6 linked regions of the Tribolium castaneum genome follow. The protein of the gene in region 4 purifies or fractionates together with the protein of the main gene of each other region. This does not show direct contact. Links are inferred from orthologs where the notes say so. Each region holds a gene or a part of one and is shown on either strand. Other genes may lie near its edges. The genes, in order: serine/threonine-protein phosphatase 6 regulatory ankyrin repeat subunit A, mitogen-activated protein kinase kinase kinase 7, TIP41-like protein, PpV, CCT2 and polo.

Region 1 (4,203 bases), on a different chromosome or scaffold from region 4:
ACTGCAAAATGTAAGTTTTTTCTGGTACTATTACGATTTTAAACAGTGGTTTCAGTGAATGAGCTGCTGACGAGAAAACTGGCGTCAGTTGATTTTCCACGAAGGAATTTTCTCTCGTAGTACTGTATTTTGTTATTAATTTTTGATACAAATAAAAAATGTTACAAATGTGTGGTAATAAATTAAATTAATTGAAAGTACTTAGTACCTCGTTAATTATCTATTTTTGGTACTATAATAATCTCAATAAAACTAAGTCAATATGATATCCCAATAAAAAAATCAACAAGAGGACAATATCAAAAGTGCGCCTTTTTGGCGTAAAATTGTCTGAGGATTCCAAATATGTCATCATTTTTCTTCCACAATTTATAGTTTTGGAGATATTGAGTTTGCACAATTTTTTTACTGAACCGTTTTCTATTAGTAAAGTGCTCATTTTGTCGACTTTAATTTTTTCATAATTTGAAGTTAACATTAAGATTTGTTTTGTTCAGCTTCATGTTGGCCACACTGTTTTTCTTGATTTCAAAGCCATCTTTTGCCACCGCTAACTTACATTTGATTAGTTGGCCATGCTTTGATCATGCTTTTACAAAATTGAAGCAAAGGATGCAATATATGTTTATATAGCTGGATTTTCAGATACCATTACAGCGAAAATAAAACTGTATTGTGTGTTTGTAATTAGAGTTGTACACGATTATTTCGCGAGTAATTAATTGGTAAAATAAAACTTACGACGATATTGCGCGCTGACAAGTAGTACGCCACAAAATTGAAAGTTTTACGTTTTTTATTTCGCATTTTGAGCCGGTCAAGTGTTTAGGTTTAAAGTTTCGTTAATTAACAAATAAAAATATACAGGACATTTACCTGAGGATTGTTGTAACATGTTCGGCATCCTGGCGTCTTCAAATTTCCAGGAGACGGTCATATTATGGTCATATTCACTTACACTGCCACAATAGTCAATAATAATTATTCACACACAAACTAACAGCGATTATTAACGCTTTAAAAACAAACCTAAATCTCTTACACAACTTTTGAATTCAAATTTTTCTAGAATCACAAAACAGACGCGGCGCACAATCGGCGGATGATTACAATATCACGTACCAACATGACAGTGCAAGTTGCAAAAAACACTAAACAATTTGAATGTTTGTGAATGTTTTAATTATCTGAGGTATTTAAAAAGGCCCAACTGATGGAAAATCTAAACCACTAATGAATTTTGAATGAATATTGGACATTATTCTAAAAAAAAAACTAAAAAGTGGTGGTTACTTTTAATCGACCAACTTGTTACTGTTTGATGAAATTTTTGGAACAAAACCACATTAAGCAAGCAGTTTAATTTAAACAATAATTGCAGAAAAATTAATTAATTTGTTAATATTTTACCCCAGTACAGTCCCACCAACCATTTGACGTCTGACATTATTTTGACATTTAAGTTTACGTAGATAATTTTAATTTATTCCGCAATGGTTTAACCACTTCCCCCTTATTTCATGTTTCGCCTTAAGTTGCAAGTAACTAACAATGGGACTGTACCAGTTGGAGGAACAGGTAAGCGAAGTCCCCCCAAGTGAGGTTATGTTAACCATGTTGTCAGCCCCCCATCGTCAAGGCCATCTTCGCGGGCTGCGAGCCCGAGAAATACAAAGAACTGATTAAATCGAAACAGGACGTAAACTGCCTTGATAGCAAAAAGCGCACTCCTCTGCACGCGGCCGCGTTCACCGGCGACGCCGCAATCGCCTCCGTCTTGCTCTCGAACGGGGCCCGAGTCAACGCGAAAGACACCAAGTGGCTGACGCCGCTCCACCAAGCCTGCTACATCCGCTCAAGCGAGACAGTGTCCATTCTGTTGAACAATAACGCCGACGTCAACGCGCGAGACAAGCTCTGGCAGACGCCCCTGCACGTGGCGGCGGCCAACGGGGCGTACAAATGCATCGAGCAGTTGCTCAACCACGTGCCCAACCCCAACGTCACCGACAGAGGGGGGCGCACGGCCCTGCACCTCGCCGCCTACAGCGAAATGGCCGATTGCGTGGAACTCCTCATTTCGGGGGGCTGTATTGTCAACGCGTACGACAAGAAGGACTGCCGCCCCCTGCACCGGGCGGTGCAGGTGGGCAGCTTGAGCATAATCGAGCTGTTGTTAAAATACAAAGCTGAGATTAACGCTAAAGACAGGAACCAGTACACCCCCTTGCATGTGGCGGCGGCCGGGGGCACAGACGCCGTGTGCCGCCTTTTGATCAGTCACGGGGCTGACGTGAACGCGCAGAATGTCTTCGGGAACACCCCCTTGCATATTGCGTGTCTCAACGGACACCATTTGGTCTGCCAGGAGTTGATCAACTCGGGGGCTGATATCGAAGCGGTGAATTATCGGGGGCAGACGCCCCTGCATATCGCTGCGGTTAGCACGAATGGGGTTGATTGCATGATGTTGTTATTGACGCAAAAGGTTGATATTAATAGGCAGAGTCTCGATGGTAGGACTCCGCTACATATGACGGCAATACATGGGAGGTTTACGAGGAGTAAGATTTTGATTGACAAGGGGGCGACGATTGATTGTCCCGATAAGAATGATTGTACCCCCTTGCATATTGCGGCGAGGTATGGGCACGATTTGTTGACCAATACATTGTTGTCTTATGGGGCTAATCCCTCACAGAGGGGCTACGAAGGGAGGCAGCCCCTTCATATGTGCTGTTTGGCCGGTTATGTAGAGTGTTGCAGGAAGTTACTGCAAGCTGGGGTGGATTTAAACGCTGTGGATGATTCGGGGAAAACGCCAACTCATTGCGCAGCGTATAAAGGGTAAGAATAGTCGAAAAAAATAATGGATTGATTTTAACTTACGAGTAATACGAGTAATTATTAATATGTATTTCAAAAGGTAAAAATTTTAAATATAATTAACGAATACATAAAATATGAAAATTAAATAAAAAATATCGAGAAAAGAAAACTTCAAGATTTGACGAGTCTGATTAAAAAATTAAATTAAAATTATTATACTATGGAGGATGATGCTATGGAGATTCTTTATGTGAAAATGAGAAAAAAGAAAAGGAAAAAAAAACAAATAGACTGTTTCTAATCTTAAGCAACAAATGTTATTATCAAAATTATTTTTCTCTTCGAATTCTTTTAGCTTTAAATTTGTTGTTGGGATTCTGTTTAACAGAGAATTCTTTTCTTATACAGAAACTCTGAATTTGTGCTTTATATTATTCCAAAGAATACAAATACGTTATTGCCATTTTTTGTTAAGAACTGAAATATTCTTGAGAGGGGTAAAGCCTCCTGAAGATTGCGGACAAGGGTCCTTTTTCAAGAGGCGTAAAATTTTGTTTTGGAAGAAACTTTTTGTAAATTTTTGTGGCAGCTTTAGATTTATTGGGTAATTTTCTTTACAAAATGTTGTTTTTGTTATTATCTGTACGACGCACTATTTTATACAAAAACGGGTTTTTTCTTCTGATTTGCTGTTTTTCTCTTTTCTTTCGTCTATAGGTTACTTCCTACCCTCACTTATTTTTTGTTGATCTTTTTAATTTTTTCTTTATATTTCCATGTTCAATTCTCTATCAGACTTTTATCTTTCCTGTTCTTGGTTTATGTATCGCTGTAGTCGGCTCTTCCTTCTCTCATCTTTGTTAAATCCCATTTCTGTTATCCCTCCTGTCTTTTTTACTTATTTTTTTCTCTATTTACCCTCTTTCTTTCTATGTTCTCTCAGCCAAAGAAATTCAGGAATCATTTCTGGGCATAGGTCTGTAGAAACTTTTTTCTTATATCTTATGTTCTTGGTTTGCGTATTGTTGTTCTCTACCCTTTCTTCCTTCCTCTTCCTTCCCTCTTCTTTTTTAATTCCCACTTCTGTTATTCCTCCTGTCTTTTTTATTTTTTTTTCTATTTACTGTCCTCCTTTCCCGGTTCTCTCAGTCAAAGTAAATCAGAGAGCATTTTTGAACATAGGTTATAGAATCTTTTTTCTTATTTTTTTGTATTCTTGGTTTGCATATCGCTATTCTCTACTCTTCCTTCCTTCATCTTCTTTCTCAAATCCCACTGCTGTTGTCATTCCGGTCTTTTTTTATTTACTATTTTTTTATGTTTTTCTGTCTTCCCTTCCCTCTTTTCCCAGTCAAAGGAAGTCAAGGAGAATTT
Region 2 (4,041 bases), on a different chromosome or scaffold from region 4:
GTCATCGATTATTAGGTCGGAAAGGTCGGAAAATGCAACAATAAAACCATCATGCTTGTGACAACAGAACCGGGAAACATTCACACAAAGGGTTGAAAATTTTTTAATTACAACTACGGTCTGCCGCCATCGTCCAGGTGTCCGTTCGCCACGAATGCACTTCCGGACGTGCGATTTCCATGCCATTACATCACAAACTCGATTAATTACACATCCGTCCTTTCAAAAATAAAAACGTGACTAAGAAGATTGTGGCCGAATTTATTTTAGTCCTTCCCCGGCTACTTTACGTAAAAATAATCCATCAAAACAATTACTATTTACCGTTATCAGTCTTGCACTCTTTGAAAATGATCCAACTTCGGTGGCTCTCATGCGTGGTGAAAACGCTGGCTCTCGGACAGTCACACATATCGCACGAAAAAAATCAAGGAAAAATCTCAAACGGTACGAAACATGATGAGATTTCGGACAGGATCGATAGGAACGTGTCGATTGTTTATGTTCGGGGGCCACTCGAAAAACTACGCGAGACTACCAGCCGCTGGAAAGAAACTGGCAACGGCCGCATGGGTGCGACTGAAATAGCGATACGGGGAAGACGCCAGGGACAGAGCAAGGCGCTGCCAGCGACGGACTGCCCAAAACTTTCGTCCCAACGTTTTTTGAAAAATATGGGGCAAAAGTTTGATTTTTTTTAAATATAGTTTACAACAAAAATTTTGCACCATGTCCTACAACCATGAATAAGTGCGCTCTCTGGCGACGAGAACGTTTTATTCGTCCATCGTTTCGCATCCTAACTTTTAGTCGTCCGTAGTCCCAAGCCAAAATTTGGAATTGTTTCTGCGGAAATGGCCTTAGGCAAGGCCTCAAAGCGCGTAAAACCTGCAAATAGCCGCCTTTTCCGCATTTCGGAGGCCGGTGGTGAATTGGGGCCAGGCCGTCCCTGGCAGGCCGATCAAGAAACTTCCAACTAAACAAACTACTCTAAATCGGTCTCGCTGAGTCAGCGCGTCTAAAAACAGATGCCCCTTCGTTTCGCACGTATTTAGGAGGAGGAACCGGAATTTCGGCCAAATCGAGCTTAAAGCGCCGGACCTGCACGACTTTAAGGTCGCAAAGCGATAAAAATACCGCGACGAAGCCGTGCAGACAAGTCGACTCGGCTTTGATCTTATTTTTATTGGTCCGTGTGTGACTAACACTGCGACAAATAAAAATTATAGCCCCTCGAGTGTTTTCAAGAATTGCAAGTTGTTGAGTCATGCACTAAGCCAATGCTCTCGGCTAAATTTACAACGAGCCCACAAGAACAACACAACCTACCGTTTTTTGGTACCATCTTATCAAGGCCGGGCATGGTTCTCAGCTGCATGTCGAGATCGTGTAAATCCCATGCGTCCTGCAACAAACGACTCAATTAATCAATTTTACTCATTTTCTATTAAAAGACAATTACGTCATGCGACGTAAAAACCGACTTACAGGGCTTATTTTAATGTTGAGGGGCCGCGACATCTCGGCACTCGGCTGGGGCAGCGATTTGACACAATTATCGCCGTTGGTGCTGGCGGGGAACTGGTCTATTTCCTCCACACAGTCCTCAAACTCTTCGATTTCCTCCTTGTAAACCACATCGTCACCGCCCCTGATCTGCAACGGCTCGTCGGCGCCCGGAAGCAACGAGCAAATAACTTCCATTTTTTTCACAATCTGGAAGCCAAACTTTGACTTTCCCCACTCAAAAAATAGTGCACTCACCTCCTTCATGCTCGGCCGCTTGGCCGCCTCCTGATCCCAGCACTGTGTCATCAGTTTTTCGATGACTGGGGGGCAGTGCCTGATGAGAGGGGGCCTCCGGCCGCTGTGCTTCGCCCACAAGATCATGAAAGCCGAAGGGTAGCCCGACTCCTTAATGTGGAAAAAAGGCTTAAGTCGCGATAACACCTCCCAGAGGATTATGCCCCAGCTGAAGACGTCGCACTTTTCCGTATAGTTTGACGTTTCAAAGACCTCGGGGGCCATCCACGCGGCCGAGCCTTTGTTGTTGGTCATGATTGCTGTCATGTCTGTGGCAGTACCAAAGTCGCATATCTTTAGCAAGGTGCCCCCGTTTATCAGGAGCAAGTTGGGCGGTTTGAGGTCTCTGTGTATCAAAGGTTTGGGTTTCATGCCATGGAGATACTCGACCCCCTGGAAAACCGAGTTAAGAGTGTGTCGGTGCGGCTTCGCCCCTTACTTTGGCGCACTGGTAGAGCCAGGACATGGCGTTGGCCATCGTGTAGTGTACGTTAGGTGCGTGGTGTAGAATATTGAAGAGGGAGCCCCCTTCGGCGTACTCCATCACAAGGCAGATGTTGGGGCCCTTGGTGCAGGCCCCGTACAGCTTGACAATGTTCTCATGCTTGACCCTTGACAGCTGCCGGACTTCCACAATAAAGGCGTCTTTGTCGTTCTCAGAGACGATGTTTTTGACCGCCACGAACGCATCGCGCCAGATTCCCTTGTAAACGACTCCAAAGCTGCCCTCACCGACTGCCTGAAACCACAATGTGTCGGTGGCCACAACCAGGGCTACTTTACCTCAAGCTTCTGAATTTCATTGTAGTTGATTTCCTCGACGGTGTACTGACATACGCTACCCTCATTTTCCGAAGACGCCATCGAAATACCGAAGTAATCACATATTTGGCCACAGAGCGTCCAGACAGCCCCAAAATTACGAAAAATCTCGATAAATATCAACCACCATAAATTTGGTTATGTATCCTTCAGATCAAGTGTCACCTTCGGCTCGAAAATCCCCAGCCGTGTTCAAAACTCGGCGCGAGTGTCAATCATGTCGAGCGAACGGGATTTACACAAACGGGGGCACCAGGGCTTCAAGAAGCGAGTCGAGAGTGACGTGATGAGCAGTGTGGGCAAGAAAGTCCTAGAGAAGAAATTCTTCGTTGCCGTTTACTCCCGGAACATTCCTGAGATAACAAAGTGTTTGAGTAAAGGAGTAAACCCGAACATTCGCTCCACGGAGTACGGTGTCACCCCTTTGCATTTACTCGCCGAACGGAACGACTACATCCTGGGGTACCGCCTTTTGGAGTATAAAAAATTTGACGTGGATGTGCGGAACGCCCACGGTTACACTGCCCTGCATGTTACCTGCTTATGCGACTGCAAAAAATTTGCCCTTCTTTTGCTGGAACACGGAGCCGACCCCAATATTTACGGCCGGTTTAATAAAACAGCCCTGCATTTATCCGTACAGAATGAGAATTACGGTATTACGATAAAGTTGCTAAAATTCGGGGCTGAGGTCAATGTTGTTGACTGCTTTGGCAATACGCCCCTCTCTTTGAGCATCCTAGACACCAATAATTACCTAATTGCCAAAACCTTGTTCCAAAGTGGGGCCAATATGAGCGTCGAGCACCAAAGACCACTCCATATTTTTTTTGGTACTTGATCATCCAAACGAAAAAAGTATTATTAAAATTTGCAGAAATGGTGTTGTATTGCCGCTGCATTCGTCAGATTGATTTGGTGCTGCTCTTGTTGGAGAACGGGGTTAATATTAATATGAGGGAGCCCGACTCAGGGCGCAATTGTCTCCACTTTGTTGCGGTGACCGGTTTTCTGGAACTGGCGGTGGTTTTGGTCGAAAAGGGGGCTAAAATCCACGTTGTGGATAGCTGTAAGCGCAGCCCCATTAAAGTGGCTGTGGACCACGGTAACGAAGTGATCGCCGATTACTTCCGCAAGGGCTACAGACCCCCGCCTTTGCTCACCGCCCTCCCGAAGATCTTCCAGTGGTCTAGCAAGGTCCGGGCGCGAATCAGCGAGCGGAAGCTGGCGGAGATGGAGAAAGAGGCCGAATTGAAACAAAAATAAACAGATCATTATGCACAATTTATTAATATTACGGAATACAACATTCAATAAATATATTGTAAATATTATACTGACTGACTTTTTGAGAGTTAAAACATATAAACATCAATAAACTAGTAACACAGATAGACTTTAAACGATTCAAAAACG
Region 3 (3,090 bases), on a different chromosome or scaffold from region 4:
GTTCGTTACGGCCCTGGAACACTTGAGCCAGTGTAATAACAACGTGTTTATAATTCAATTAAATTAGGATTGAATTTTTCAGCAATAATCCTGTGTTCGAACATGTAGCACGTTTTCGATTTCTCATTTATAAAACGGAAGTGAAACCATAACTCTGAATTAACGAGTTTGGACCACTTTTATTTGACTACAATTCGCGAAAAATGATTGATTGTTTAATTGGCAAACAAATTAATGCGGAAATTAACTGATTACGGTCTCTCGAGTCGAGTGGTGAAACTGTTTACTTACCAATGGTCGTTAAAACGGTCGATGAAAAAAACACCGCTTTCAACGTGGTCCATTTCGCAACTTGTTCTTTGGGAAATAATGGTATTCCCTCTCTGCACGCACTTTGCAGAATTTTCTCGTAATTCTCCAATTCGCCCGATATAAAGTAATCAAAATTTTTCAAATCGGTGTTATTTACAATCTGTTGTATAAAATTCTCTCTTTTCAGCAAGAGCGTGTTGTTGAAATGATTAAGTCGTGAAATTTCAGCAGGATATTCGAAACGTCGGAAAATCTGAAAGAGAAATATTTACACAAGGAAAGTGGGCTGAATTGCTCGTTTTAAATTTAGTTAAGAATAGTTTGCGTAAATTTGTTTTATTTCTAATTGTGTGGCTGTTTATTTCCCGAGACACGAAAAGCACTAACGAAGAAACTTTTTCAACCAATAAAAACTTGATCTTCGGTCTGGTATCGCGTTTATTTGAAACTTTCGCGATTAAGTAAATTGATTCAAAAGTCGTACCAATCCCCCCGCGACTGTGTACCCCATGAGAGTTATCAAAAGCCCGATGTGTTGGAGGGCGGCTTTCAAGCGCAGTCTTTTCCACCAATTTTTAAAACGTGTTTTAAAGTCCATGGGAGAGCTTATGTAAACCGTAGTTTCCATCATTTCGTCCATGGTTGCGTACAAAAATCACAAACACGAACACATCACCCTTGAAGCTGGGCTGGAGTCAACTAGACGCGAAAGCGTCGCGACGCTTTATGATACTGAATCTTGGAAGTATACAGATGCGCTTAGCGCTCCCAAATGATGCTTTATCATTCCGGGGACGGCTTTTTCGATAATGGGGCGGCCAACGAATCAAAACAAATAACAGAATAATGATTTACCAATTTTCAAGTTTATTTTATTGCATTGCGTACAATTGATTAACTTTAAGTTAATCTGCGATATCAAGGCTATAAGCAAAAAACACGAATTTTATGTAATTTTTTTGAAAACATTTTTTTGCAAACTTTAAATTTGGCGCTGATGCGTTGCGTCTGGCGCAAGCGCACTGTTATAGGACGCAAATAAAACGATTCAAAGTTGAGTAAAGTGAGATATTAGAACACAGGGTCCATTTTTTACAATTAAAGACAAGTCCCTTGTCTTAAAATTGAGGTAAACCGGTGCAAACGTCAAATTTGTCACTGTCTCCAAGTCAGTCATTTTTTAGGTTATAATGTCTGCAGTCACCCCAAATAAAAACGAAATTGATATCCAAAGACTACCCGTAAACTCCGAAGAGCACATTTTTCATGATTGGGTGATAAAGTACAAAAAATCGCATATTCTACACTCGATTTGTACGAGTGCAGAAAAATGCAAAGACCTGTCACAAGAACCTTGTTTACTTTGCTTGTAAGTTTGGAAATGAGGTAAAGTTTGGGCTAATTTTTGTGCTTAAGATACACCCGAACTCTGGATATCCCGCATTTGCCTGAAATGGTGTTTCCAAATAATGTTTTAACTCTTACACACAGTTCAGGGGGGCAAATTGAGTTTAATGCTTTGGATGCGCTTAAAACTGTCGCCAATGGAAAACTGCCCATAAAAGTGGCTTGTTCCGAGGAGTGGAGTGAGTCAAGGTTTGAAAATTGTAGTTTATTGAGGGGGAAAAAATTGATTGGGTTTTTTCAGGCCACCTGAGCATTTGAGCCAAAAAATTAAACCGTTTGATTGGACGTTTAGCAATGATTATAAAGGGACAATCACCGGTCCTGTGCAAGTAGTGCCAACTGAGGAACGGATCAATATTGAGAAACTAAAGGAAAAGGAAAAGATTTTGTTCTATCAAGAGTTAATGCTTTATGAGGATGAGTTACACGATAATGGGATTTCTTCATGCACTATAAAAATCGTAATTTGTTGTGTTATGCAATGCTTGTTGTTTAAGTGTGTTTTTAGCGAGTAATGCCCAGTTCTTACTTCATTCTCCTCAGATTTTTTCTAAGGGTAGATAACGTTATGTTAAGAGTAAATGATACCAGGCTTTACCACGAATTTAGCACAAACTACATCCTGAGGGAATTCACAAACAAGGAATGCGCGTTTGGGGATGTCGAGTTACCACTGAATGTTTTTGGAAACCCAAATGTCTTATCCCCCCATATGCCTGTAAGGACTGCAGTTAACGAGAAATTGATTTTTGGTGAATGTAAACCACCAACAGAAGGGGCCGCAGATCAGTGTTCCATGCAAAGTACCAGCAAAAACGACTAATTTTCTGTAAATAAGTGCATTTAATAAATTATTTTTTGAAATTCAAAATTTGTGTCATAAAAAATAAAATCCCCAACCTTCTCTATTATCCTATGGTCAAGGACAAAACTAAAGTCCCTAAATTGAAGCATGTCCTTTATAAACCTCATGCCAGATTGTTAAAATTTTTCACAATTGTTGGTTTACTTATGATAATTTTTACTAATAAAGTCTGTACTAGTGATTTACGTAAGTTTACAAAATGGGCAAAGCGAAAAAAAATCGCAAAGGAGCAAAAGGCGACGACAGGTACAAATCAACAGAAAATGTCAATTTAGATGATTAAAACGTTTTTAGTGAGTCTGAGCCTGAGGTAGAAACGCAAGAATCAACCGACAAAGCAAACAACAAAAAAAGTAAAGCCTCTAAGTAAGTATTTGGAGTTTTTGTCACTCCATTGAGGTTATGTTTGTTGCGAAACACTTGGCATATTTTCAGCTGTAAAAACGTAGTTTTTGCTGCAATTTCACGTTGTTTGGGATTTTTTGGTTCAATTTGACTCATTCTAT
Region 4 (3,029 bases):
CTATTCGGTGCTGCCATCTTATTCAAATTAAGAATCATAGGCCACTAGACAGACCTTAATTCTGCAGTCCATGCTAGCAGACAGTAACAAATGAGCCGTTCGGGGGAACCACCGAATGGCCGCAATTCCTTTCGAGTGCCCCGACCACGTATGAATATGTGCTTTCGGAAGGAAACACTTCTCCGGGGGGCTGTCCGATTTCAAATTGACACCAACATCTTGAGGTGCATGTAGAAAACTCCTTCCCTGATAATCCACAGCGTCTGAAACTGTAACAAAACCAGCAATTTTCGCAAAATTCACCCAATAGTCACTCTTACTGTGCAAAATTGATTTTTCCTCGATTGGTTTGTCTTCTGTGGGTTTCCCCTTCTTGTTCTTTTTCGACAATAATTCGTCCAACTCTGCTGCCTCCTCATCAGACGGCTTCATGACCCTTTGTTCGTCCACAAAACCACCCCAGGGCCCCAAAAACCCCTCAATATCGCTCGGGTCGTTATTCTTTTTACGTTTTCTCTTATCTAAAGGTCTCAGCTTGGTTGATTCAAACACTGTTTTTGCTTCCGGGTCAATATCATCGCATTGGCCAGTCGTTGTAACAACTTTGGTGCCTTCAGCGGCACTGCCCACAGTGGGGTCCAGAGCGTAACCAAAACTGTTAAACGTCCGTCTTTGGTTTTCGAATTGGAACTCGTTCACATACGCTGGCTCAACGTAACCCGAAAGTATGTTTCGGGTGCATTGTTGCTGCTGGGTCTTGAAGGGGTTCTCAGGGCCCACCATGGGCGAGAACAACTCCTCGTATTTGGGGTTAAAAGTCACTTCCTGGGCGCTGGGGTCAACGTGCTGGATGCACTCTTCAGACCCCTAGAAGGCATACATTTAGTAAAAATACGCTAATAAGGTAGATCACGCACCGTGGGTAACACGACAGGAGCCGCACACACTTGGAGTTTGTTCTTGATTGAAAATTCGGGGTCCGCTGGGGGCTCCTCAGGCTTAACCTCCTCTTCGTCACTGTCTCCGTAACCTTGCAACGCCAGCATTTTGCACAAATGCAATACTCAAGTCTCAAAATGTGTAATTTGAATCAACTTTTAACCTAAAACACTAACAACTGTCAACTGTCAAAAGCAAACCATAGAGCGAGGCTGGCGCCTATAGATAATTATTTTTCCAATTATTTTAAAATTATAAAGACATGAAAATTGCCCGAACACCGGGAATTTAATTTCAGTTTAGTTAATTTTTCAATTTTCGTCGAAATTTAATTAATTCATTCGGTGGGTTCGTCCGTTTGTACGTCTGTGGTTTTCAAATTGTCATTTGTCACTTGCAAACTGTCACATCTTTTTGGTTATCTTCACTCCAATTTACCAAATTTCGGCCTTTTTGCTATGTTTTATGGCATTATTTGCCGCAAGACGTTGATTATTGCCGGGCTTTGACGTTCAATTGGTGTTGGAAAAGTCGCTAGACCAACATGTCTTCAGAGCTGGATCAATGGATTGAAATCGTGAAAGACTGCAAGTATTTGACCGAAAACGACTTGAAGAAATTGTGCAGTATCGTATGTGATATTCTTTTGGAGGAGTCGAACGTGCAGCCCGTCTCCACTCCTGTGACGGTCTGTGGGGACATCCACGGCCAGGTGGGTTTTGTGCGTCCCCTTGGCTCAGTTTACAGTCGCGTGTTTTAGTTTTATGACCTGGAGGAGCTGTTCCGGCAAGGGGGCCAAGTCCCTGACACCAATTACATATTTTTAGGCGATTTTGTCGACAGGGGGTATTACAGTCTTGAGACTTTTACTCGATTGCTCACTTTGAAGGCGGCTTATCCGAACAAAATTACTTTGTTAAGGGGGAACCATGAGAGTCGACAGATTACGCAAGTTTACGGTTTTTACGACGAGTGTCTGACTAAATATGGCAATGCTAACGCTTGGAAATACTGCTGTTCTGTGTTTGATCTGCTTACTGTCGCTGCGTTAATTGACGAGAAAGTGCTTTGTGTACATGGGGGCTTAAGTCCGGATATTAAAACGGTTGACCAGATTCGGACTTTGGAGAGAAATCAGGAAATTCCGCATAAAGGTGCCTTCTGTGATTTAGTTTGGTCGGACCCTGAGGATGTGGACACCTGGGCGTCGAGTCCCAGGGGGGCTGGGTACTTGTTCGGGGCGAAGGTCACTCATGAATTCATGCAAATTAACGCGCTCACATTAATTTGCAGAGCTCATCAGTTAGTCCACGAAGGTTGTTTTTGGTGTTTCGTTTTTGCGATAATTTAATGTGTCTTTCAGGTTATAAATACATGTTTGATGATAAGCTGATAACGGTTTGGTCGGCCCCCAATTATTGCTACCGTTGTGGCAACATTGCAAGTATTTTGGAATTCCAGACCACGGATAAAGTCGAACCGAAATTATTCAACGCCGTACCCGACAATGAACGAGTTATTCCAAGTAGAAGTGTTACTCCGTATTTTTTGTAATTTTATGACGCTAGTATCAATAAACAATTTTCAAATTTGGCGCCTTTCTCATCGTCGCACCTGCGCACTGCTAACCTAATCATCCATCTTTTTCCAAGTGTCGTCTGTCAAGAGATAGGCCACATTTGCGTATTTCTGTAGATATTCGAATTATCTACAGTCATCTTTGTTAAATTTCACTCGAAAAATGGTCCAAAAGAAAGTAAGTCGCGTGTTTTCATTGATGGGGCCCTTATTTTCCATATTATTTGGCAAAATTCGGGCTGGGATTGACATAACCTACAATCTTTGTTGTGGCATATTTTAACCGTGTTGGTGGTTTTAGCCGAAGAAGAAGACCGGTAAAAAGGTGGCGGCGGCCCCTCTTGCCGTGAAAAAAGTCGAACAGAAGAAGGAGGTGAACCCCCTTTTCGAAAAACGCACGCGCAATTTTGGCATTGGTACGTACCCCTTAACCCAGCTAAGGCCCCTTTAAACTTAAGTCCTAACCAGGCCAGGACATACAGCCCCCTCGTGACCTGTCCCGCTTCGTGAAA
Region 5 (4,242 bases), on a different chromosome or scaffold from region 4:
ATTACGTTCGCCTTATCTCGCTTGCCCACCTTTCTCAAAAAATGATCAGTGATGTAACAAATTTTTTGAGGCGCCCCCGGACATTTAACCGGGCTGTTTGGAAACGTGAAAATAGCATTCCCGTTTTCAAACTTTTGTAACGCCCTATACGTCCCTTCGACGTACTTTGCCGAGTAATTAGAGCACACCCCTGTGTCACTGTTTAAACCAGCGACTAGACCTGGAATCTACTTGCAAAATTTAACGCCACTTATTTACTTATCAACAAACTTTATCATAATCGGTTTGAAGACCAGTGGCGACTAAAAGAAACTCGTATTCGATTGTATCGCCATTCTGGGTCGTGACGGAATTTGACTGGGGGTTGAATTCGGCAGCTGAGTCTTTCAGCCAAACTGCGTTTTTTGGGAGAACCTCTTTTGTATTTTTCCTTGCATCAGAGAGACTAGAAATGCCGCCCCCAATTAAAGTAAACAGAGGCTGATAGTAGTGATTTTCGCTGGGTTCTAGGATTATGAGCTCGTTCTTTTTGAGGATTTTACTGAATTTTGCGGCCGTGGCACAGCCACCGGTGCCCCCACCCACGACCAGGACCTTGCAACTAAAATTGATTTCGCAATGTTTACTCTAGCAGAAAAACACAAACCTGTGTTTAGCATTGTTAAAGTTCGAGGTAGAAAAGCCCCGCTTAGCGACATGCGAAAAAAACACGTTCATTTTCTCGGTATTTGTTCTGCAAATACCAGGAACAAAAAATTACTTATTAATTAACTATTTTTTACAAAACTTACCCAAAAAGAAATAAGAATGGAAATCAATAAACTATAAAAAACTTTTTGCAATGATTTTCTTATCGTGAATAATGAAACGTTTGATGAGATAAAGAACTTGACTTTAAATAACAAGTAGAGGGAGAGTGAGTGAGTGTTGAAGAATCTCTAATGGAGGTGGAGAGCTTTCCAATTGGTTACGTGAAATTTGCGGCATTACATTAATCAATCAGTTTTAATCAATCTTTTTATCAAAATAAGGTGGGACACATTACGGGGTTCAAGTGGGGGTTTCCTAAATAAACAAGTTTATCAGAATTCAAAGGAACTCCATGAGATTAATGTCAATTTCTGAGCTCTTAAATATTTAAAGATAAAGATATTTGCATATCTTTTACGCTAAATTAATAAATAGCCAATTTTGATAAAAAGTCGACCTAACCTACGAAAAAAAGAATGAAGTGATAATATAAAAATAGTGTGATTTCTAGTGTAATATACACAAATTAGTAATTGTAATGATTGGAAAATATGATTATGACAATAAATATTCGTTCGTATAATCAAAAACTTACGAAAATCAAAACTGGCGCTTGTAGACTTCCACCATCTTCAAAAACATGTTAGTGTTTTACGTTTTTTCGGTGTGGTGCCCTTCGCTTAACTCTATCTCACTTTTACACGAACAAATTGAATTGTTTCATCTCTGTCCCCCACATTTATTTAGTGCATTTCGCATTTAGTTTTTTGACAATTGACAGTGTAGTCAGTGAGTGAGACGGTTCCGTACATAACTCGCAAATATAAGCAAAAAACGTGAAAAAACCACACAAAAATGGTAAGTTTCCCCAATTCGCCCTCGCGTTTATCGCCCAAATTGCGCAAAAAATCAAAATTCGCCGAATTTCCACTCAGACCAAACAAAGTAAAACCAGGTGTGTCATGGAACCGGCGAACCCACGTGCCTCATTTTCAAAGAAATTCTCCCTTTCAGGTCTCGTTAAACCCCGTGCGCGTGTTGAAGCATGAAGCCGAGGAGGAAAAAGCGGAAATTGCCCGCTTGTCGAGCTTCGTGGGGGCGATTGCAATTGGGGATTTGGTCAAAAGTACGCTGGGGCCCAAAGGAATGGACAAGATTTTGGTGTCCAGTGGCAGGAACGCGGGGCAGGTTGAAGTTACAAATGATGGGGCCACGATTTTGAAGTCGGTGGGGGTTGATAACCCCGCAGCCAAAATTCTGGTTGATATGTCCAAAGTGCAGGATGATGAAGTGGGCGATGGGACCACCTCAGTCACTGTCTTAGGTATGGTTTGAATGACTATTTTACGAAATTCGGCGTAAAGTAGCTCTTTTCTGGACTCGCATGTCAATTTCACAAATTTCTATTGTTTAAAGACTTACTTATTTTTTTTTTGCTCCAACATTCTAATTGTAAGGTTTAATAACTTTTGAGACGAAATTAAAAATACGCTTGGAACAATAAAGAGCAAATTTTTTCCTGGCATTAAGTTTCACATATTTTTTAAAGTTAACTAGTTATTAAATTGGTTATGCAAAGAACTAATTTTGTTTCAGCTTCTGAGTTGTTGAAAGAAGCGGAAAAGCTCATAGACCAAAAAATCCACCCACAAACAATCATCGCTGGTTGGCGTAAAGCTGTAGATGTGGCCAGGAAAGCGTTGCTAGACGCCTCTGCTGATAACAGTTCGAATTCGGAAAAATTCCGTGAAGATCTGATGAATATCGCACGAACGACTCTCAGTTCGAAAATTTTATCTCAACACAAAGAACATTTCGCTAAATTAGCTGTTGATGCTGTCATGCGTTTGAAAGGTTCCGGTGATTTACAAGCCATTCAGTTAATTAAAAAATCGGGAGGAACCCTTGAAGAGTCATTCTTGGACGAGGGTTTCCTCCTCGATAAAAAACCAGGCGTCCATCAACCGAAACGCGTCGAAAACGCCCGAATTTTAATCGCCAATACACCAATGGACACCGATAAAATCAAAGTGTTTGGTTCGCACATCAAAGTGGATTCTATGGCGAAAATCGCCGAGTTGGAGTTGGCCGAGAAGGAAAAAATGAAAGACAAAGTAAACAAAATCCTCAAACATAACGCCAACGTTTTTATTAACAGACAGCTAATTTATAATTATCCTGAGCAATTGTTTGCCGATGCTGGCGTTATGGCGATCGAACACGCCGACTTTGATGGCATTGAGCGTTTAGCTTTGGTCACAGGTGGCGAGATCGTCTCAACGTTTGACAATCCTGACCTTGTAAAGCTTGGCAAATGCGATTTGATTGAGCAAGTTATGATTGGTGAGGATATTTTGCTGCGTTTTAGTGGAGTTCCTCTAGGGGAGGCTTGCACTGTTGTGATTCGTGGAGCGACTCAACAAATCATAGACGAGGCTGATAGGTCGCTTCATGACGCTCTTTGTGTCCTTGCGGCTACAGTTAAAGAGAGCCGAATTGTTTACGGTGGGGGCTGTAGTGAGACTTTGATGGCTGTGGCTGTGAGCAAAGCTGCAGCCAAGACTCCGGGTAAGGAGGCTGTGGCGATGGAAGCCTTCGCGAGGGCTTTGCTCCAGTTACCGACTATTATAGCCGATAATGCAGGGTATGATTCAGCTCAGTTGATAAGCGAGTTGAAGGCGGCTCATAACAGTGGGAATGTTACGGCGGGGCTTAATATGGAGACGGGGGAACAGGGCGATATGAGGGCTTTGGGGATCACGGAGTCGTTTGTTGTTAAAAGACAGGTTTTGTTGTCGGCGGCTGAAGCAGCAGAGATGATTTTGCGTGTTGATAATATTATTAAAGCGGCACCGAGGAGAAGAGTCGAGGATAGGGGACACTGCTAATTCGTCAAACTCACTATTTTTACTTGCATTGTATTAGTTGTACAACTAAGTTTTTTGATGTATTTGTATTGATCCATTAACACGTAATAAAACGCTTTCATTTATCGGTTTTGTCACACTTCATCCTCCTTCCGGATTTAAATAGGTTAAGGCTAAGTAAACAGAGAAAAATTCCTTATCTCTCGTTGTATTTGATAAGAGGTATTCATTATGTTGCTCGGAGACGTCTTAATTCTTTTTCTTGTTATTCTAATTACCATCACAAGCTCACAAAAATGCCCAGTTTGCCAGCCGAGAAATTTCATTGAAAACGAACAAAGTGAGTAAACTGCGTATCAATGAATTACCTACATGCATTTTTTAGAATGTGTTTGTCCACAAAACGAGTTTTGTAGAAACAATAAAAAATGTCAAAAGTGTGATCACAATTACACAACTTGGAATGACCTCATCAAGCTACGAAAAGGTGCACTTCAATTTTTTGTTTTCTCATTTATTTAAACACGTTTCAGGCGAGATTCAAACAATTTTCAGTAATTTAATCAAAAGGTACGAAATAAATGTAAACGAACTGAAAACTCTATTGAATACATTTGCCGAGAAA
Region 6 (3,318 bases), on a different chromosome or scaffold from region 4:
GATGTAAATTGTCGTACTTTATTTTAACAATTTATTTACCTAAAATTTATATTTTAAGTGTCGTGTAAAATGAGTAGCTACAAACTTATCTGATATAATGCTGAAATTACCAAAAATTGACAGTTTTTCTGTAAAAGAAAGTGAAAAAAGTTTAATCTGTAAATTTGCCAACCAATTCAACTAAACTGGAGCTTAGAGCACAGGACAGACATAGCTACAAGAAGTAAAGATTATTGTATTTTTTAAAATGTTTTTTTTTAATTCATTAATTTTATTTCAAATTTAAAACTTTAGTTTTTTACAAAAAAGGCTAATAAGTTAATAATACTCTTAAAATAGAATTTTTGTAGAATATAAATAAGATGGGTGAATATTAAGGTAAATTATGAATGGGGGCTGTAATGGGGGCCCGCGAATGAGTTTGGATCCCACGCCCCAACTGGTATCCTTACGCCACTGGTTGACATACTAAGTTTTTTTTCGAAAAACTTCACTAAAATGGACTGAAAAATTACAAATTGATCTTATTTTGTCAATTTAATTCGTTTTTGAACCTGAAACTCATTTATTGATTTAAAAAACTCAAAATAAAAATGATGGATGATGTTGTGTCTGTTTCACTCGATTTTGTTGGTTCTTGAGCGAAATTTTTTGTAAAATTATCTCAAAAATGTTATAATTTTCTCAAAAACGGAGTCATTGCCATTTTTTTTGATTTTTTAAACAGGGTTTTGAGTTTCTTACATAAATATATTGAGCAGAAAAATGACCTAATTGGGCAAAAAAAGAATTTTTTTTTAATTTCTGGGTTTTATTGGCACGTTTTTAATGCAGAAGCGTTGTTATTAATTATTATTTCACAAAATTGTCAACAAAAAGCCAAAAAATCAAGGAAAAATTTCGCGCTTATTCTGCAGCAACCGTTGCATTAAGCATCTGTTGCTTTAATTTTTTTTGCTGTTGATAAGTAAGTAATTGCTGGACGCTGTTTTCAAAACTGCAGACAGATTTTTTCTTTCAGTTCTAGTTTTGAGGTAAAAGGACACAACTTTAATTAGACATTAACTTTTCTGTTGCGTCAGATTTTTTTCGCTGTTCTTGGACGCTGATTTCAAAACTGCCTACAGTTTTAAATGTATCTTTAATAAAAAAGATGATTTTCCTCCGATTAATGCTAGTTTTCGAGAAAATAATCGATTCCCTAGATCATTTTACATTTGTTTACAGTAAAACAATACCACTTTTTTTAGTTTTGCCGTAATTGCTGTTTGAAACTTGAGTGTGAATATTTATACGAGTTTTTGATATTCATCGGGCAATAACTCCGGAATTAATACACGTAACTCTATTAAATTTATTAGTAAATTATTAAGAACATTTCCATTTTCTCGACGCTAATCGATTCCCAGATTATTTTACATAGTAAGTCTACGTTAAAATAGCAAAAAAATAATATAATTAAAAAGTGGCGAGATATTTTTTTCTACGACCTTTAGTTTTTGTGATATAAGTAGCTCCTATTAGCACTTTCTACACTCTTCATAAGCCCTAAAATAAAAACTCGAGCTGATGGACAATCAACTGTTAAATTTACGGCAACAGACAAAAGTGAAATTTTGTAACCAGTGAATTAATAATTGAATCATCTTCACTTTTGTTCCGTGTTTTGTTACCTTATACGTAAAATTGTAATCATTTCAAAACCACAACCAGTTTATTATCTCTGATAATTTGTATTCTTTGATTTGCCATGAGCGAATTTTTAATATACCAAAAAAAAATGCATTGAAATATGTGCTGTAATTTCGGTTATTTTTTCCTGTAGTCTATGATGGAGTTGCAAAAGCGCCGAAAAATGCTCACCGAGCCCGAAACTCGCTTCTACATGCGTCAAATCCTGAACGGAGTAAGTTACCTCCACCAGAGGCGCATCATCCACCGCGATCTCAAACTCGGCAATCTCTTCCTCAACGATGAACTGACGGTGAAAATCGGCGATTTTGGTTTAGCCGCAACGATAGAATACGAAGGCGAACGCAAAAAAACCCTTTGTGGTACTCCGAACTATATCGCACCGGAAATCCTCCAAAAGAAGGGCCACTCATTCGAAGTGGACATCTGGTCCATCGGGTGCATCATGTACACACTCCTGGTGGGCAAACCACCGTTTGAGACACGTTCGCTTAAAGAAACGTACTCAAGGATTAAGAAATGCGAATATCAGTGCGTTGAAGGGATTTATCGATTTTTTATTGTTTTAAAAATTGAATTTTAGTTTCACGACGACTATTTCTCCAGCGGCGAAGAGCATGATTATGCTCATGTTGCAGTCAGATCCGAAATCGCGTCCAAAAGTAACCGAATTGCTACAACACCCGTTTATTACCGATGGGTATTGTCCGTCTTCGTTGCCGGTCAGTAGTCTGACGATGGCACCCAGGTTCCAGAAATATGACGTGTCGATGAGGAAACCGCTTAGTGGAATCAACAACGGTAAGGGACAAATTCTCATATTCGTCAAAATCACACAATTTCTCAAGCTTTCTGGGCAAAGTTTAACCCATCTTTATAAGTAAACCGTTCATTAGAATTTTTTTTTGAAAGTTACATTACATTTTTGCTAGAAATTGGCGAAATTCAACTGTTTCTAAACGTAGTACCTTTTATAAATAAAATTGAGAGAATTTTAGAACTATATCATTGATATTTTCGAAAATCTGTTCAAAATCTGTACGAATTATTATGTAGTTTTATTGGTTAATTTATTGTTATAAGTTGTACACTGATGAAGAAATGATAAACAATAATACAATTAAATAAACTGATGACAGAAAAATAAAAAAAGATTAAAAACACATCAAAGACTTTACTTAATCTGCTATTGTTTTTAACCGAAATTTCGCCAAGAATAACCTGAAATAAGTGAAATATGTTATAATTTCCTAAAGAAGTAGTCAATTCTATATTTTTTTAAATTTCTGAGTTTCTTTCCTAAATATACCGAGCTGAAAAATTAATCTAATTGGGTCAAAATATTTGTTAATTTATTCTAATAAGTTGTACACTGACGCCGAACTAAAAACTTAAGAAAATGATAAACAATAACACAATAAATTGAACAGATGACAGAAAAAAAAACAAAAAGATTAAGAATGCATCAGAGACTTGACTTAATAGTTGGCTTGATAATTGTATGTTGTTAATTTAAAATTGAGAATTAGAATGAAATGCAGCTTAGTATTTAATAAAACTAAAAAGTAATGGGTTGTACACAGAGTTATCAGGTCAGGTCAGGTCAAGTTTTGAAACCAATTTAAT

What was found.
Region 1: the proteins of PpV (region 4) and serine/threonine-protein phosphatase 6 regulatory ankyrin repeat subunit A purify together in Homo sapiens (affinity purification with mass spectrometry; 9 studies listed by BioGRID and IntAct, with this or other methods). This does not show direct contact. The link is inferred for Tribolium castaneum from reciprocal best matches to the Homo sapiens genes PPP6C and ANKRD28.
Region 2: the proteins of PpV (region 4) and mitogen-activated protein kinase kinase kinase 7 purify together in Homo sapiens (affinity purification with western blotting; 3 studies listed by BioGRID and IntAct, with this or other methods). This does not show direct contact. The link is inferred for Tribolium castaneum from reciprocal best matches to the Homo sapiens genes PPP6C and MAP3K7.
Region 3: the proteins of PpV (region 4) and TIP41-like protein purify together in Homo sapiens (co-immunoprecipitation; 4 studies listed by BioGRID and IntAct, with this or other methods). This does not show direct contact. The link is inferred for Tribolium castaneum from reciprocal best matches to the Homo sapiens genes PPP6C and TIPRL.
Region 5: the proteins of PpV (region 4) and CCT2 purify together in Homo sapiens (affinity purification with mass spectrometry; 4 studies listed by BioGRID and IntAct, with this or other methods). This does not show direct contact. The link is inferred for Tribolium castaneum from reciprocal best matches to the Homo sapiens genes PPP6C and CCT2.
Region 6: the proteins of PpV (region 4) and polo purify together in Homo sapiens (affinity purification with mass spectrometry; 4 studies listed by BioGRID and IntAct, with this or other methods). This does not show direct contact. The link is inferred for Tribolium castaneum from reciprocal best matches to the Homo sapiens genes PPP6C and PLK1.

What each region holds. Positions count from the first base shown.
Region 1 is NC_087401.1:12,715,591-12,719,793, reverse strand, and holds the start of serine/threonine-protein phosphatase 6 regulatory ankyrin repeat subunit A, read left to right. Parts: upstream 1-1,403; 5' UTR 1,404-1,551; coding exon 1,552-1,578; intron 1,579-1,624; coding exon 1,625-2,847; intron 2,848-4,203. Other genes in the region: spindle assembly abnormal protein 6 homolog, read left to right, coding at 1-10, 56-120. UniProt on the Homo sapiens protein: Regulatory subunit of protein phosphatase 6 (PP6) that may be involved in the recognition of phosphoprotein substrates. Involved in the PP6-mediated dephosphorylation of NFKBIE opposing its degradation in response to TNF-alpha.
Region 2 is NC_087399.1:3,650,993-3,655,033, reverse strand, and holds the start of mitogen-activated protein kinase kinase kinase 7, read right to left. Parts: upstream 2,801-4,041; 5' UTR 2,668-2,800; coding exon 2,587-2,667; intron 2,543-2,586; coding exon 2,243-2,542; intron 2,197-2,242; coding exon 1,765-2,196; intron 1,717-1,764; coding exon 1,489-1,716; intron 1,406-1,488; coding exon 1,330-1,405; intron 1-1,329. Other genes in the region: putative ankyrin repeat protein RF_0381, read left to right, coding at 2,843-3,458, 3,503-3,891. UniProt on the Homo sapiens protein: Serine/threonine kinase which acts as an essential component of the MAP kinase signal transduction pathway. Plays an important role in the cascades of cellular responses evoked by changes in the environment.
Region 3 is NC_087402.1:4,517,998-4,521,087, reverse strand, and holds TIP41-like protein, read left to right. Parts: upstream 1-1,294; 5' UTR 1,295-1,441; intron 1,442-1,496; 5' UTR 1,497-1,502; coding exon 1,503-1,681; intron 1,682-1,728; coding exon 1,729-1,908; intron 1,909-1,960; coding exon 1,961-2,180; intron 2,181-2,227; coding exon 2,228-2,542; 3' UTR 2,543-2,590; downstream 2,591-3,090. Other genes in the region: TWiK family of potassium channels protein 9, read right to left, coding at 292-565, 797-952; eIF5B (eukaryotic translation initiation factor 5B), read left to right, coding at 2,784-2,830, 2,879-2,950. UniProt on the Homo sapiens protein: May be a allosteric regulator of serine/threonine-protein phosphatase 2A (PP2A). Isoform 1 inhibits catalytic activity of the PP2A(D) core complex in vitro. The PP2A(C):TIPRL complex does not show phosphatase activity.
Region 4 is NC_087400.1:5,275,289-5,278,317, forward strand, and holds PpV (serine/threonine-protein phosphatase 6 catalytic subunit), read left to right. Parts: upstream 1-1,320; 5' UTR 1,321-1,483; coding exon 1,484-1,651; intron 1,652-1,699; coding exon 1,700-2,255; intron 2,256-2,302; coding exon 2,303-2,493; 3' UTR 2,494-2,529; downstream 2,530-3,029. Other genes in the region: pre-mRNA-processing factor 17, read right to left, coding at 55-269, 321-867, 918-1,046; RpL7A (large ribosomal subunit protein eL8), read left to right, coding at 2,681-2,695, 2,819-2,933, 2,986-3,029.
Region 5 is NC_087397.1:1,023,515-1,027,756, forward strand, and holds CCT2 (T-complex protein 1 subunit beta), read left to right. Parts: upstream 1-1,456; 5' UTR 1,457-1,605; coding exon 1,606-1,608; intron 1,609-1,764; coding exon 1,765-2,074; intron 2,075-2,346; coding exon 2,347-3,638; 3' UTR 3,639-3,742; downstream 3,743-4,242. Other genes in the region: Sqor (sulfide:quinone oxidoreductase, mitochondrial), read right to left, coding at 1-227, 271-601, 647-717; chromosome partition protein Smc, read left to right, coding at 3,849-3,957, 4,003-4,104, 4,151-4,242. UniProt on the Homo sapiens protein: Component of the chaperonin-containing T-complex (TRiC), a molecular chaperone complex that assists the folding of actin, tubulin and other proteins upon ATP hydrolysis.
Region 6 is NC_087398.1:11,004,490-11,007,807, reverse strand, and holds part of polo (serine/threonine-protein kinase polo), read left to right. Parts: intron 1-1,825; coding exon 1,826-2,223; intron 2,224-2,275; coding exon 2,276-2,493; intron 2,494-3,318. UniProt on the Homo sapiens protein: Serine/threonine-protein kinase that performs several important functions throughout M phase of the cell cycle, including the regulation of centrosome maturation and spindle assembly, the removal of cohesins from chromosome arms, the inactivation of anaphase-promoting complex/cyclosome (APC/C) inhibitors, and the regulation of mitotic exit and cytokinesis.